Linked DNA regions of Bombyx mori. The protein of the gene in region 2 purifies or fractionates together with the protein of the main gene of each other region. This does not show direct contact. Links are inferred from orthologs where the notes say so. Each region holds a gene or a part of one and is shown on either strand. Other genes may lie near its edges.

The links. The genes of interacting proteins can lie anywhere in the genome.
Region 1: the proteins of MLE (region 2) and nucleolar protein 56 purify together in Homo sapiens (affinity purification with mass spectrometry; 3 studies listed by BioGRID and IntAct, with this or other methods). This does not show direct contact. The link is inferred for Bombyx mori from reciprocal best matches to the Homo sapiens genes DHX9 and NOP56.
Region 3: the proteins of MLE (region 2) and mitochondrial matrix protein p33 purify together in Homo sapiens (affinity purification with mass spectrometry; 3 studies listed by BioGRID and IntAct, with this or other methods). This does not show direct contact. The link is inferred for Bombyx mori from reciprocal best matches to the Homo sapiens genes DHX9 and C1QBP.
Region 4: the proteins of MLE (region 2) and nuclear cap-binding protein subunit 1 purify together in Homo sapiens (co-immunoprecipitation; 3 studies listed by BioGRID and IntAct, with this or other methods). This does not show direct contact. The link is inferred for Bombyx mori from reciprocal best matches to the Homo sapiens genes DHX9 and NCBP1.

What each region holds. Positions count from the first base shown.
Region 1 is NC_085132.1:2,385,133-2,389,120, forward strand, and holds the start of nucleolar protein 56, read right to left. Parts: upstream 2,816-3,988; 5' UTR 2,449-2,815; coding exon 2,446-2,448; intron 2,375-2,445; coding exon 2,170-2,374; intron 1,843-2,169; exon of another isoform or gene 487-1,842; intron 398-486; exon of another isoform or gene 56-397; intron 1-55. UniProt on the Homo sapiens protein: Involved in the early to middle stages of 60S ribosomal subunit biogenesis. Required for the biogenesis of box C/D snoRNAs such U3, U8 and U14 snoRNAs. Part of the small subunit (SSU) processome, first precursor of the small eukaryotic ribosomal subunit.
Region 2 is NC_085132.1:4,401,521-4,405,035, reverse strand, and holds part of MLE (MLE protein), read right to left. Parts: intron 2,670-3,515; coding exon 2,518-2,669; intron 1,782-2,517; coding exon 1,590-1,781; intron 616-1,589; coding exon 457-615; intron 1-456. UniProt on the Homo sapiens protein: Multifunctional ATP-dependent nucleic acid helicase that unwinds DNA and RNA in a 3' to 5' direction and that plays important roles in many processes, such as DNA replication, transcriptional activation, post-transcriptional RNA regulation, mRNA translation and RNA-mediated gene silencing.
Region 3 is NC_085114.1:15,035,363-15,039,399, reverse strand, and holds the start of mitochondrial matrix protein p33, read left to right. Parts: upstream 1-1,222; 5' UTR 1,223-1,332; coding exon 1,333-1,567; intron 1,568-1,771; coding exon 1,772-1,813; intron 1,814-4,037.
Region 4 is NC_085127.1:11,154,194-11,158,245, reverse strand, and holds the start of nuclear cap-binding protein subunit 1, read right to left. Parts: upstream 2,816-4,052; 5' UTR 2,464-2,815; coding exon 2,424-2,463; intron 2,338-2,423; coding exon 1,556-2,337; intron 1,105-1,555; coding exon 686-1,104; intron 389-685; coding exon 251-388; intron 21-250; coding exon 1-20. UniProt on the Homo sapiens protein: Component of the cap-binding complex (CBC), which binds cotranscriptionally to the 5'-cap of pre-mRNAs and is involved in various processes such as pre-mRNA splicing, translation regulation, nonsense-mediated mRNA decay, RNA-mediated gene silencing (RNAi) by microRNAs (miRNAs) and mRNA export.

The sequences.
Region 1 (3,988 bases), about 2.0 Mb from region 2:
CAAGAATCTAAAATTAATATTTACTCCCGAGAAACCTTAATGAATCCGTATGATAATTCTAGGGTCGGCAGACTAAAGCACATAAGTCAAAATTTTCAATTTATTTTTTATTACATCATCGGTTTACATTTTGCTCAACACACAATCTGACTAAAGCACATAAATCAAACTCAAGTATTTCATGGCGTATTCAAGCGGCGTTCTGTATCAACCTTATCAAATCCTAATATAGTCAAACGAACTAAAAAACATAACTGGACTTATGTTCTAAGGAACACCATAAGTACAAAGTTATTAACGTAAGAAGTCTGACTTATGTTATAAAGAACATCAAAATGTAACATTTCTTTAGAGAAAGTGGTTACTTAAAAATATTTATAACGTAAACAATACTTCGGTAAGTGGTTTTAATTTACTAATGTTGTCGATTGTGCACAGTTTGTTGGTTAGTTTTGTGTGAGTGCTTAAGTATTTTAATTATTTAAGATGAATATTCAAAGAGGCAAGAAATTAGTTGAAATGGCATCATCCACTCATCTGGAAAGCAATGAAGGTATATTTTCACATATCTTCAAAATTATGATTTGCAAATTACGTAATTATATCAATATTATATCATTATAAATAGATAATTAATTGTCTTGTCCTTTTTTAGAAAATGTAAATCAACAGTCGATTTTGAACACAGAGTTCTAGTAGAACCTAGTAGTAGACGATCCTATACCGTCGACATCATCAGGTCAAGTCAGTAGCTTAACATACTATTCTGTACTTGACTTCTCTAGTGATGATTCTGTACGATATCCATGTTATGAATTACCGAGACTTCCAATCACATCAAGTTCAAGTACTTGTGATGAAATTTCAATGAATCCTAATGTGTCTCCAAAAAAGAGTATACGTACTATAAAAAAAGAAAAAAGAATAAAACGTAACTTAGGACAGGCATACAAAACTTTAAAAGGAAAATGTATATCAGATCGCACTATGAATTAAAAATTTATTTTTGAGAAAAAACAAAAAAAAAAGCCCGCTGAGTTTGTTTCGCCGGTTCTTCTCAGGACTGTGGCTTTTTTTGGAACCGGTGGTAGAGATAACATTGTTATTTATATTTTGACATTCAATAAGTGTGTTATACTGACATCTAAGTTGAAATAAATGATTTTGAATTTGAAAGAGTTACCTGTTTGCAGAATGAAATGTAAAGAACGTATACCATTAACTGATAGGCGTGCCATATTTACAGAATATTGGCAAATGGGGTCATATGCAAAAACATCTGCATACTTGGCGTCTTTAATGGAAATTCAAGATAAATCTAAACAAAGAATACGAGCTATTGAAACTGAAAAGCAAAAGCTTAGAATGAAGACATAAAAATACTTTTTTACTGTGCATGGTAAAGGTGAACCTGTCTGCCGAGGATGTTTAATGAAACCGTTAGATGAAAGTGACAATTTTATAAAGACATTTGCTATGAAAAGGAGATCATCCATTGGGGGATCTCAAACTGATGATATAATATCTATACAGCCATTACCCATATTCATCGAGAAAAAAAATGATTTAATTTCGCTGCTCCCTTTAATACTAGATATTTTCCATGAATTTTACATAAGTCTTCCCACGTTGGAAACTTTACGAAATACTGATCCAGATATTTAGAAGAAGAAGAATAATAGAATAAGAAGAAGAATTTTAATTAAACATTGAGTTGTTATTTATATTTATGACTTATATTATTATAATATATATCTTAATTGTTGATCTTTTTCACTTAACTCATACTATTATTGTGTTCCTTATAACTTAAGTCATCTAATTATTAAATAATCACATTTACTTTAAAATATTTAATTTTAATAATAAGTTAGTGTTATAAACTTATATAATTCAAATAAACATTATTAAGTTTGTTAATGTATAAGATTCTAAATAGTTTTTTTTAATTCCTGTAAAGTAGAGTTTTTTGACTTATGTGCTTTAGTCTGCTGACCCTAGAATTTTAACTTATAGTAGTGGAGGCTTTGTAAGCTTAAATCAAGGTCGATAGCTTGCAGACACATTAACGACTCTTCGGAGTTTAACAACACATTGACGAAACATCAAATATTTCGAAATTCCAAATTAGTACTAAAAGTACAAGACAAGGAGAAGTCGAAAACTAACCTTCAGATACCGCGTTGATATTTTCCAAAGCAACGATCGCCGACTTGTGTGGTTGGAAAGCTATTAAAGTCACAACAGCATTAAAACGTTGCAAATCTGTCACGGACTCTTCGACCTGAGGCAGGAAAGCCGCTAACTCTTCAAATTCAGCAACGCGGAACAACGCAAAGCCCGCGCTGTGTTCGAATAACACATAGAACTTACTCTGCAATGTAAATTGGTTTAAATAACTCACAATAGCGTAACAAAGTCATAACACATCGTTTTAATACGCACCATTTTAGTAGTTTTATATCATAATCATTATCATATTATTTAGGGGAAAAACAAACACGTGCGTTACGTTTGCTCCCCTATTATAATTATTTTGAGGTTAAGTTACAGCTTTGATGCTTGTGTGTGGCTGGAATGTTTTTTTTATTGTTTGGGTTGCATAGACCAAGGGAACATAGATTTAAAATACTTACACTAAAATCTTTTCCAATTTAGCAAATACTATGGCCGACAAGCTATTATTTAAATGGAAGCCGAGGTATTTCACATTTGTATTTAAAAAGCTAAGCGTTTTTATTTCTGACTATAGTATTAAGTAGAATATAATAAATAAGTAGGGCTAATTTTGAGCTACACAGTTTGTTTTAGCCTCGCTTGCTTTGGAAAAGAGAGTTAAAAAAATGTTATACGTTAAAATTTTCAAGTCGTACTATATATAATATAATACTCGTTATGAAAACATTATAACATTTTTCACCATGGTCTCAAAAGTATATTCTTAATTGTTAACTATGTTTATTTATTAATAGTATGGCACATTGTAATCCCTTAGCTACAATCCAACAATTACAGTAACAATCTCTAGTTATTATCATTCTGCCCATTTCGGCTACGAAGCAGCCGTGGGTTTCAGTTTCAAAAAATACTTCAACTTCAACTTCATGACCCAAATGGATGTCGGCATTCATTTTGTTATATTTATAGATTAAGGACAATTTATTCACTTTATCACTTATTATACCAAGAAAGCCTTGAGTAGATTTATCCATCAAACAACCACAACAAAAAAAGCGTTTTTGTTCGTTTTAAAACTGATAGTGGATGAAATTATGACAGCTATTTTTTTCGAATCGTATTTGCATACATAAACTCGGGCAATGCAAGTCTTTTATTGTATTTTATTACTAATTATCCTACAATTACATCATCTACAATTATGATTTAATATTTGTAAATTCAAAATACCTAGTCGTAGGAATGTCTATGATTTTATCATTGACTTTACCCGAAAGCATAAAATTAATTAAATCTTTTAAGCCTTTTAAAAGCGACTGGCCGACGGCGCCACAGCTGCCACTAGTTAGATCTTTAAGGTGCTGTGGAGTTAGGCTATCAAGCCCGCCAGCAGAACCACTCTGAAAAGATGCAAGAGCATTAGCAACATCCTCTATGGTCGCCTCTATGTTCAGAGCTGGGAGGTTCAGAAAAAAATATGTTGTAGGATAAAACAATTAAGAAAACATGTACTCCAGTTCATCATTTGCTTTAATCGCCGTGTTTTGTACAACTCAGTATATTGTTAAAAAAAAATTTTTTTCACAACTTATGGAAGGATACTCGGTTGTCATTTATCCCAGTCATTAAAAAAATTGAGGCAACAACATTCAACGGAAATTTTTGACATTTCAATTTGAAATTTGTGTACAAACTAAGGTTAATCGTATTTAATTTCTAAAAATAAATGTAAAACAGTCTTAACTTATAACAATGTTAAGGAATAAAAAACCCGTTCAATAATCAAGAGTAAAAATTCAAATTATGTAAT
Region 2 (3,515 bases):
GCAATGCCGGTCTCAAGCCCGGATGAGAAAAGGGGATGATTGAGTTGAAGTTCAACCGTTTCCGCCATAAAACAGTCAACGTCGAATGTCCGGAGCCATATAAGGCTTCAGCGGCCTCGAAAAACTAAATCTCTTCCAAAAGCACTCCCGTGACATGACGCGGGACCCTACCACGTGTATTTTCCCAAGAAATCCTCATGAGGTCACAACCCTCAGCATTGAGGATTATCGACGCAACGAGGAAGTATAAAATATATTTGAGATTTTTTTTTATTGTCCCTGTAGGCAGACAAGCATACGGCCCACATGATGGTGAGTGGCTACCATCGCCCATGGACTTCAGCAATGCCAGGGGCAGAGCCAAGCCGCTGCCTACCGCTTAATACTCTCCACAAGCCTCGTTTGAAGAAGGACATGTCGTATGTAAGTATTTCTGTGAGTGCGCGGTTTGGTCACCTTTCGCTCTGCCGGCGAGAACTGCAGCGCCGCGTCGGGTTGGGCCGCCGCGCGCTCCACGATCCTCTCGATGGCGGGCCGCAGCGCTATGATGAGGGCGGCCGATCGCGGCGACATCTGGAAGTTCAGCCAGTTGTCCAGCCGCACCACGTTGTCCACCTTGGTGAAAAAATAATAATATTTTAATAACACTATTTTATAACATACTAGCTTTTGCCCGCGACTTCGTCCGCGTGGAATAGTTAGTTTGGCATAACGCTAAATTTAACCCACCTCTTCATTTACGTAGAATATCCTCTTTATAAAAACACCCTCACAAATAATGCTTTATTTTAGAACAAAGGACATGGGCCATTTTCGGCCCAGCTACTAGTGCTTTCAAGGACACGAATGAAATATCTATAGAAAAAAACATTTCAATTTTACATATTTATTATAAAATTTAAGGGAAATTTAAGGGTATTTTAATGGTGGGATTATTAAAATCATAAATAAAAAGAAATTAGCATGACTAAGCTACATTGATAATATTGAAGGAGTTGCCATAGGTAAAATATATTTATATTTTAAACAATCCACATTAAATCTTCTTAAAAAAGACATTATATTGCAAAAAAACAAGCAAAATATCAACATATTTAATTAATGGATTTTAAAACTAATATAAAAAATTATATCTAAACAAAAATCTATTTTTATACTTTTAAATCCGTAGAATAAATCATTACATTGATCAATAATTACCGATCATAAGCAAAAACAAAACGCTTGTTTAATGTTTATTTACGTTTTACATTTGATCAGTCGTTTTCGCACTCGTGCGCATTGTGGATATTATTAAGTGTTTCGTTGCCGATATACCTGCTTATTATATTTTGTTGTGCATAAAATTAAGTCTTGGCGTTCATTGAATTAGGTCTGTGGTATAAAGTATAGTAATATAAATAATATTTAAGCTGATGATGATGATGGTAAAGTGTAAGTGTATTGACAGCAAATCATATTATGATAACCTATATCCTATACATTTATGTGTTTGTGTCTCTATGGACTTATTTTTTCGTTTCATCGGGTTTAAAATCGCAACGATTCTAAAGAGGTTTCACTTCAAAAATGAAGATCGACGAACTAACCCATTCCACTTTGTTACAGCCGAAGAGCAGCAGATGTATGGGAGCGACCATGGTGGTCTGCTTGCAGCTGATGGCCCGGGTGCGCACCTTCTCGCCGAAAACGAACAGAGGCGAGGGGAACTTCTGCTCCATGTTGCTGCAGTTCACTGAGGTCTTGTGTATCAATGCCGGTTTCCCTTCCGTCGTTAATACCTGAAATTACATTGGTTTCCATGGCAACACTGTGTTTTAAAAAGATTCGTTAATTGGCCTAAAGGTCCTAGATACCAGGCCATAAGCTAAAAAAAAGACTCGTTAATTTATTTGCTTACTGCTTAATAAAAAAGTACAGGGACACATTCATTTTTATAACGACAAATAGATTCATTCTTACTTTTAAACGACAAGGTCATTGGCCTCATAGTAGCCAATCACTAGTGTGAAAGTGAAATAAATAAATAAATATTACAATAGATTGGGGGGAACCGGGATGCTTTTCAAATCCAACACAAATTTTCAGCGGTTTTTCTTAGGCTAATATAATTGAGATTAAAATAGTTCCAGGGGTTTATATTTTCATATACGATGCGCTATTAGACATTGAAAAATATACACAAAACTTAAAAAACTAGCTTGACCTGATTCACCTTGGCTTTTGGGGTGAATCGGGTCACGTAGGGGGACAAGATTATCGATAGGGCTGGCAGTTTTTTTAGTTGTTAGGTAGGTACTTACCTTTAGGTAATTAACTTTTCAATATCTTTAATCAGTTACAAAACTTTGGTGACTACATCAAACTATTTATTATATTCTTAAGCACCAAATAAAACTGCTTTTCTATTCAACAAATTTAAATCTCACAAAAGCATTGTGACAACCAAGATTTGTCCCTATTCTACCCTTAGTCCCTATTTCCCCCAATCTACAGTACAGTATTAGATATGGTTACCTTCCTCTTCCCTTGGTGTAGACAAACGTTAGGGTACAGGCCCATGCACATGAGGGCTATGACCAAGTCCAAAGTTGGGTCCGGTCCGTTCGGCATCCAACGTTGTGGAACACAGCATTCTTCGTTGAAGCCTATTGCGGTCGTGAGGATATCTGGAATATACGTTAAATTTGTTAATTTTATTTGGCTCTCACAACTTAAAATGAGTCGACTATTATCAAAGGCGGCAATCTGACTTTTGGACAATGATTGGTAAATCAGAAAAACGAATTATTTACTTTGTATTATATTGGCAGTCACAAAACTCTTCGGAACGACATCTTAGATAAATAACAGGTTAACTATTAACCTTTATTTAATGCAGGTTTTGAACCGTATTCTTTGAAGGAGACGATTATATTCAAATAAATCTGTATTGACATATCAATAAAAAGTTTTTGTCCAAATGTACAGATTGCCACCTTTGATAATAGACGACTCAAATAACGTTAGAGCGATAACTATGGTTTTAGTGTATTAATATTATTTTTAATTTTCGAATTACATTTTAGCAAAAATAAGCAATTTTTTAAATGATGTTCATATTAAACCGTCTCTACGGACTCGTATCTTCTTCAAGAGATAACTCAAAATGAAACAATGAGCATGAGGCAACATTGCCACCACTATAACCATTAAGTCTATGACCAAAAAACACACACGCACTCAAGTTATATAGACTTATTGACAGATATGGAATTTTGATTTAATTTTTCTGCGGTTGATACAATTCAGAATTATAAAACCAATACTGTGTAATTACTTGACCCGGTGATAACTGTGGTGTTTCAATATACATAGAATCCAAATGACATGCAGTGTTTCTATTATTCCGAAACACTCAAAGAATTTTTAAAAGCACACGACTTATCATATAACTCATTTCCAGATTTAAAAAAAAATCTAGGTCCCAAAAATAAGTTCTAAACACAGTTAAATACGGTGCAAGCTTAAATGGC
Region 3 (4,037 bases), on a different chromosome or scaffold from region 2:
CGTTTAATATTGTATAGCTTGAATAAAAACACGTTCCAACCAAGTCCAAGTTGTTAAATGTCAATTGTCAAAAACTTATCCTAAATTTTTATCGTTCCAATGGGCTAGCAAGGGGAATGTTGCCCGTACGTTATCTTATGTAACACACACCCGAAGTCTATTTAACAAAATTTATCGAGTTTTAAAAAAGTCCAGGTGGCTCTAGATGTACTCGTCATTTTACTGAAAAGTTATTTTATGTCACCAGAAATGATAAATGATCACTTGTGATGGTCTTATCTAATTTTACCTCATTTAAACGTTAGCAGTAGTGAAATAAAAATAATAAAAGCGAGATTAAACCGCAAATCACGTTTAAATTTTAAAAAATACCGAACCCGAAAAACTCATTTTACGAAAAACTACATTCAATGGATTTGTTTCATTTTTGTGCACTTTCACAAATGTTCAGAAATAGAATAAAACAGCTGGTTTTATGCAATTAACTCTCGAAGCGTTTAACCCTCAGACATAGCCACAGCCCACTGAGTTTCTCGACGGATCTTCTCAGTGGGTCGCGATTCCGATCCGGTGATAGATTCTGCGAAGCATGGCTCTTGCTAGGATTCGTGTTCACGGGGCTCAAACTTGATGACATTGCTATCATCAAGTTTGAGCCCCGTGAGCTCACCTATTAGTTAAGGCGATGCTGATATAGCCTCTCAAGGCTCAGCTTAGTTAGGTAAAAAAAAACCGGAGCGAATGAAAAAGTTTGATTTAAATTAAAGAAATAATTTGATTTAAATTAAGTAAATTATTTACAGACTCCCGCCATTTGACACAAAGTATTCGATTGCGCCAGACCGGGAATGAGTTCAGGATATGCCATCACCCACCTTGAGAAACAAAACTGGCATAGGCATGTATTAACAATAGGGAAAGGTCGATATCTATCCATGCATGCATGTCGCATATATTACTACCAGTTTTTTCTTTATATTTATTTTAACTTTAAATACACGGTTCCACCTTACGAAACAGAAGATTCAGTTTCATATTATGTTAAAAATATTCATCTCATCCAACTCCTAAAATGTTGCATCCTCTCATTTAAATCTATTTCATTTCATTCAATTTCATGTCCATAATTATTTCATTTATAGTTTTTAAGCACTGACTTCAGCTTTTCCGAAGCAAAAATCTTGTATAGGCTATTCCTTTGCCCCTCCAATAGACGAATCGTGAAACAACTAAAGTCGTCTGTGGTCTCAATTCTCATTCACTTTTTCAACCTGACTAAAGTTTTGTAAAAAAATTTAGAAAAGTGAACATTAAGTTCAATAAGCAGGAAAAATGAGCGGCATAGTTAAAGCGACCCATAGAGTGCTGCAAACATGCGTTAAAACTGCGAACTTAAGCGGGTTGGTTAGTCGCACACAGACGGCTGTGAAACGCGACTTTACTAGGGGTATATGGCACATGAGCTGCTCTCGAAGGTTAGATGGGACCCTGGCTTCCACCAGCTTGCTACACAACCATTCCAATACTTGCAGCTGCGGCTGCGGGTTGAAGGCGCTTCACACGAAAGGTATTAAATTTCCGGCTATCTCCATTATAGGTTATAATTACACCATGCTTCGTTGGTCTTTAAATGTATCACCAATAATAAAATAAGGTATTTGTTAACGTTAATTTAAAAGGAAATTATTTTTTCTAACAAATTTGTTGCACACAAATGACGAAATAATGGGAAATCATTAGACAAATTTAATACTTTAAATGCGTTTTCTAGCCGATAAAGAAGACGAACACTCCATTAAACCCAAGCCCCTTGGTGAGTCCTAATCCTATTCCTTAACTAGTAAGTTCTGCGGTGGTACTAGCTTCATGTTAAATTGATGAACTGAACAAAACTAAAATTATATGGACATATGAATATATTTAAATAAAATTTTGATCATCACCAAAAAGTACTAATACTCTGAACAAAATTTATCATATTTTAATATTATGTACTTACATCAGATCATTAGCCTTTTTGAAAAAAACACATCTTGCATCACAGGTTGTGCACTAAATGCAAAATTCAGAAACCTGGTGCGTAATATCAAAAACAAATGTACCCACTAACAATTCAATTGGATAATTTTTTTTTAATACAATACAAATAAACTATGAGTTCTCATTCAGAAACAAAACGGGACAATTAATCAGGGTATGGGTTTGAAATGCATCAACATTCTGTAGGTCCAATGCTTAGCTCATTCAAATCAATTTAGTAACAACAATAACATTGAAGATTAAATTAATTAGTCATTGAGGTAAATTTGGGAGTTTACAGAATTATTCAAAATTAAAAAAATCATCCCTGCAAAATTATCTTGGGCCTTTCAAAATCAGAAAGGTCTTAGAATCAAGCAGGGTACATTAAAAACACACTTTCATCCAGGAATGAAATTAAAGATTTTCATTCCTGCATAGAGGTATGTGACATTCTTTCCAGTTTTAGTGTGGGTGTGCTCTTTCTTTCAATTTAGAATAGGAATAACATTTATATTTTAAAATTTAAAATAATCTATTTCACCATTTTTAGAATAACGATTATTTCAAATCCTAATAACATGTATTATAAACATGGATAAATTTTTCAATATCCAATATACATAATAATATATCAATGTATAATGGTGATAACACGTGTTGCAATACTGTAGCACTGTATTTCTATCACTAAGCAGTTACGTGTTCAAGTTTGAAGGCATTAAATAAATCAATTAAGATCACAATCTCATGTTTCAAGGTGGGTGACAGAATTTATGTTGTGATGTCTGTAAGTTCTGTAATCACTTAACATCTGGTGGTCTATGAGCACATTTACCATCTAAGCAAATTCAAATTCAAATTCAAAATCATTTATTTCAACTTAGATGTCAGTATGACACACTTGTTGAATGTCAAAATACAAATAACAATGTTAACTCTACCACCGGTTCCAAAAAAAGCCACAGTCCTGAGAAGAACCGGCGAAACAAACTCAGCAGGCTTTTTTTTTTGTTTTTTTCTCAAATATTTTCTTTTTTTTAAATAAATAGAAATATTCACAATAAAAGAAAAAACAAGTCAAAAAAATACAATTAAAAAAAAAATTATAATAATGAAAAATGAAAAGGCCAGGAGTGAGCGCCTCATTCCCACGTAGTGCCATCTAGTAAATAATCCTTAGCTTTAAACAGTTTTCTTAAATCTACGAACAGGTAGTAGTTGAACGTTTAGTGGGATCTTGTTGAGCAAAAAAAGCATAAAAATAATTCCATTTGCTAATGGTATTCAATTAAATGTAATAATTGAAATCCTTAAATAGGACAGACATTACAAATAGGCAATGCTCATTTGCAGATAATCATTCATTTATTTATATTGTAAAGGACACCCTTGATTTTCTAGCCCCAATAGAAAACCTTGAAAAGTATTATTTTAACTTTAATTAGTACTGTGAGGATCTTTGATCAGTGTGCGCTGCATGTTGGTGTAGTTACTAATTAAAAAAAATAGTTACAGTCAAAACCGTTTACTGCGACATCGTTTAATACAACATGCCGGTTATAATAACCAAGAACAAAGGTCCCGGCTGAATGCCATATGACCGCCTTATTAAAAATATTGGTAATAACGACATACCTCATAAAACAACCACATTTAACTAATATTTCGGAGAATTAGATCTGTTAGAACGACCGGCTAGCTGTATTGTAAACTATTTGAATAGGTATCCACATTTGTCTTCAATGGCTATTAAAATCAGGAAAGAAAACAATAGGATTTAGTTTAGTGTAGGGTCTTTTCTAATTCTTAGAAACAAAACACGTGCATGCGGTAGTCAAAGCCCGCTTCTTCATATCTCTTCAGTTAGTTTGTTACTTATCTATACACAAGACGCACCAAAACTTTGTGGAGTTATTCGTGAAACTTTCAAAATGTCGCAAAGAAAAAGAAAACAAATTAATATTGAAGAAAAATCGCGTATTATGTAAATATATTTTTCCAATAACTCTCTATCG
Region 4 (4,052 bases), on a different chromosome or scaffold from region 2:
TTCTTTGGTGGTAAGATAGCCTGAAAAATCACAAATAAGTATTTCATATTATCACTATTAATTGTAAATTGTCGATATAAAAACAGCTTTGAGACATCAAATTTTAGTTTTTAATTTACTAGAAATATATTTTATTTTCGTGTTTTTGTTAATATAATATTGAAATTCACTTATATGTTTATTATATTATTATTGTCATGTTCGCAAAATGTTAGCATAGAATATATAAGGGAAACTTTCATAAACTTGCCTTAGACATTTTCCGAGGACCTCTCTGATAAACCTGGGTTTTGGATGTTCAGGATCTAATTGGAGACACGCCTCCCAATCTTCCCATGACCATCTGTACTGGAAGTTGCTCAAATGGTAGGCAAACCAGTTCGCAAACCTTAAAAAAAAGACTACTTTAAAATATTATTTACTATTCAACTGTAATCTTCTTTAAGTGATATTTAAGATAACAACATTCTTCTATTCAACATTGTATCATTTTGTGAAATATGCTTGAACAGAAAACCCCAAAATAAAATTTTATATTGTTCATTAATTATCCCATAGCTATACACATGCACATACATACATTTAAAGAAAAATATAAATTAAAAGATAAGGTGTAAGTGTCTTGAGTCCACAAAATTAAAATGAAACTATCAATGTATTCAAATTTCATCCAAGGTTAACATACCTGTCAAAGCAAGCAACATTCATGGTGTCAATCCTCATGAACAAAATTTCAGTAGCTTGAGCTAGAACCTGTGGCATTGTTGATGGCTGAAGCTTGCAAAGTTCAATTAATATTGAACCATAACATATCTCCAAATACCTTGGTTTTGGCAAATTAAATAATTCAGCAAATATCACCTCAACTATGCAATATTCCAGAGGAATTTTGGCTTTGTAAGGAAAGCAGAGGAGTTGAGCAGCACATTCTTTACGTTCTAAATGATATGTCTCAATAATATTGTGCAAATGTTCTTCTATCAAGAATCTCTCTATAGAGTGCACTCCAGGCAAAACTGGTCCGTCTGGACAGTCTGTGTAGTCAAACATACGGAATATAACCCGAGGCATTGGATAAGTATCAGTGTCATTATGGGGTGGTGGCTGAAATATAAAAACATCATCAATTATTACCATATGATTTGTAAACGAAAATATTATATTGGTGCAACTTTTTAAAAAAAGTTAACTTTTTATTAGTTTTGTTACCGCATTTATTAGTCAATCTTTACATGTAACATTTATTTATGGCACCCCTGGCACACAAGCTGAAATAAATTAGTCTGCAACCTTTGCTTGAAGAAACACATGTTCTTCAAGCCTCGAACTTCCACAGGGCAAGTTACTTCTAGTTCCAAAGTGTGTGTAAGGTAAATTAAATAAAATGCACTAGAAGTGGGCAGCTCCAGATATAACTAGTAAACTGTACTTTGGTGGTAATGAACCATATAAATACCATAATCGAATACCATAATCGAACAAAACCAAAGTATGTAAACTTTAACTAATTTGTATTAGAAAATCATAGTATATCTATTATAAATTCATATGATACCTGAATGGCAGGAAGTGTGTGTTGTAAAGCTTCACAAAGAATAGAGTCAAAGGCAAGATATGGCCTTGGAATATGTTTCTCTGACCAATTGTCTTGTTTCAACTTCTTTATCTGAGACCAGAGGCAATCCAAATATTCTTCTTGTAAATGAGGTGAATCAGCCGACCACACCTTTAAGGCTGGCCAATGTTTCTTACTCCGTTTATTCAAGAAAACCTCTATAGTCACAAGTAAGTGATCTAATTGAGATTCCTTCTTTTCATACAACTCCCGACCAACCCAAGGTAATGCTGACAGCACCGCAAATACAAACCAATCCCTTCTGACGTGAGGTACTCCATCTTCATTAGCAGAATCTACTAATGTCTCTAATAAAGTCAGCAATGATGAAGCAGCCAATACGTGACAGTTCACCAAGTCCGCAATGAACCTTAGACAATACCTAGCAGCATTCCATTTCCCGACTTTAAGATTTTCTTTAAAGGTTTTTACTATGTAATCAACAAATTCTCCACCAAAGTTATAATTCTTTGCATTCAACAAACCAACAAGAGTTGCATAGATTGTACATTTCTCGGGCATGCGGATAGCACAATCCGTTAGTATCCGTAGTATTTTAACTCTAAAGGTACTCAAATCGGCTTCCAGTACACTTGCTAATCCTTCTAGGTTACTCTCCAAACTGGAACTACTTTTTTCGCCAACTCTTAAAATTAAGGACTCTAAGCGATCCTCGATTTCTTGGTTTTCAGATACACGACGCCTTTTCCGATGGAGGCGTTCTGAAAATAGTAAAAACAATTACATACTTCACAATGTACAAATAAAATTAAATATAACCTGTATATGTTTGATCTTAACAACTCACCATATCCTTCTTCATCATCATGTCCTCTACGACGGTTCATAATAAAATCACTGTGCGTATCACAAATCTTTGACTTTTCTCTTTATGCTTTTGTTTACGAAATCGTATTTTACGTTTAGAACAGAAAAAACGATAGCAAACTCAACAAGCTTTGAATAAATTTTCAATGTCTTCAACTCCGAAATCTTGCGACAAAGCAGTGCTGTCAGATGACCGTGTGAATTTCCCTCCAACTTTTTTTTAAAACCCCCCGAAAAATAAGCTTTTTGAAAAAAAAAACCAAAACAGCTTTTACTTAATTTAATGAAGAAATAAAATACAAAAGTATTCTTTTATTGGAACGAAGTTCCTTACGGCAAGCTTGGAGGGGATAGGGATTTTGCTGCGCGACCGAACTGAAAAAAATGTGATAGTAAAACCGTAAGAAAAAATCCGTGGAAAAAAGTGCGTGGAATAAAACCGTTAAATGAGACGTGCGCAGGCGCGACAGTCGCATACACAAGCGAGTAGTGTATATACCTTTCTCTTTCTCCTTCTTACTTTTCGTTCTCTAATCCCTTCTCTCTCTATTTAGTAATTATTTCTATTTCTATGTAATTTTATGTTGTCAACCAAAAATAAAGAGATATATTTTGTTATTTTAATTGATAATTTGAATTACTATTTTTTTTATTTTACGTAATTTATTATTTTCTAAAATACTCAATTTCCTAAATACTTTCCCGTGCTTAAATAAAAACTAATCAGCAAAATTTAAGAGAAAAACCAAGAAAACCTACATAAAATTGAGCACCATTTCTTTTTTTGCAAATTGTGTCGATTCTACATTAGCCCAAGGAACTTCGTTCCTACCTGGTGTCCCACGACACCACATCTTTTTTATTTTTTAATCAAGCTATCCCATAACTTCAACCACCTCTAAAAAATTTTTTACAATCATATTCACTTTCGTTTTTATTATATAAAGAATACACGTTTTCGGAGTTAAAGATTAAAAATCTTACATGTCCGATGTGGGAACAAAATTTATGGATCCTTATGGCAGTGAATATTGAATCTCGAGAACCGCTTCGACAGTTTCTATTGCCTATTCATCCGGTTGCGTAATTTTTCCTTTATAATATTGTTTTGTGCATAATACGTATAGTAGATTATAAATATTCTAATAGTGATGGGAATTGTGTTTGTGGATGAATTATATAGTGCTCAAAAAACCTCCGAAATTTCTCCCAACTACCTTTTTCCCCCCAAATGTCCCCTAAAGAATCTTCCCCGCCGAATCTCATCTTCAAGGTCAAAAAACCCCCGAATTTGCAGGAATTCCCCCCCATCTGGCAACTGTACGACAAAGTGACAATCTTGAAATATCGTGTCAAGTTGTCAACTGTCAGGACTTTTTCTTTCAGTAACTGACAGTAGAGTTCATTTCCCAAAGGTCTTCATGAAACATCATTACAGCCTATCTTTTATTAACTATTTTTTAAAAAATGATATGGTGCGTAATAAGGTGAAATTGATTTAGACTGTAATAAATTGGGATGACACTAAATAAAATGAGCTGAGATGGGATTGTAGCAACTAAAAAATCCACTGTCACAACTATAGTCGGATTTTTAATTAGACGAAGCC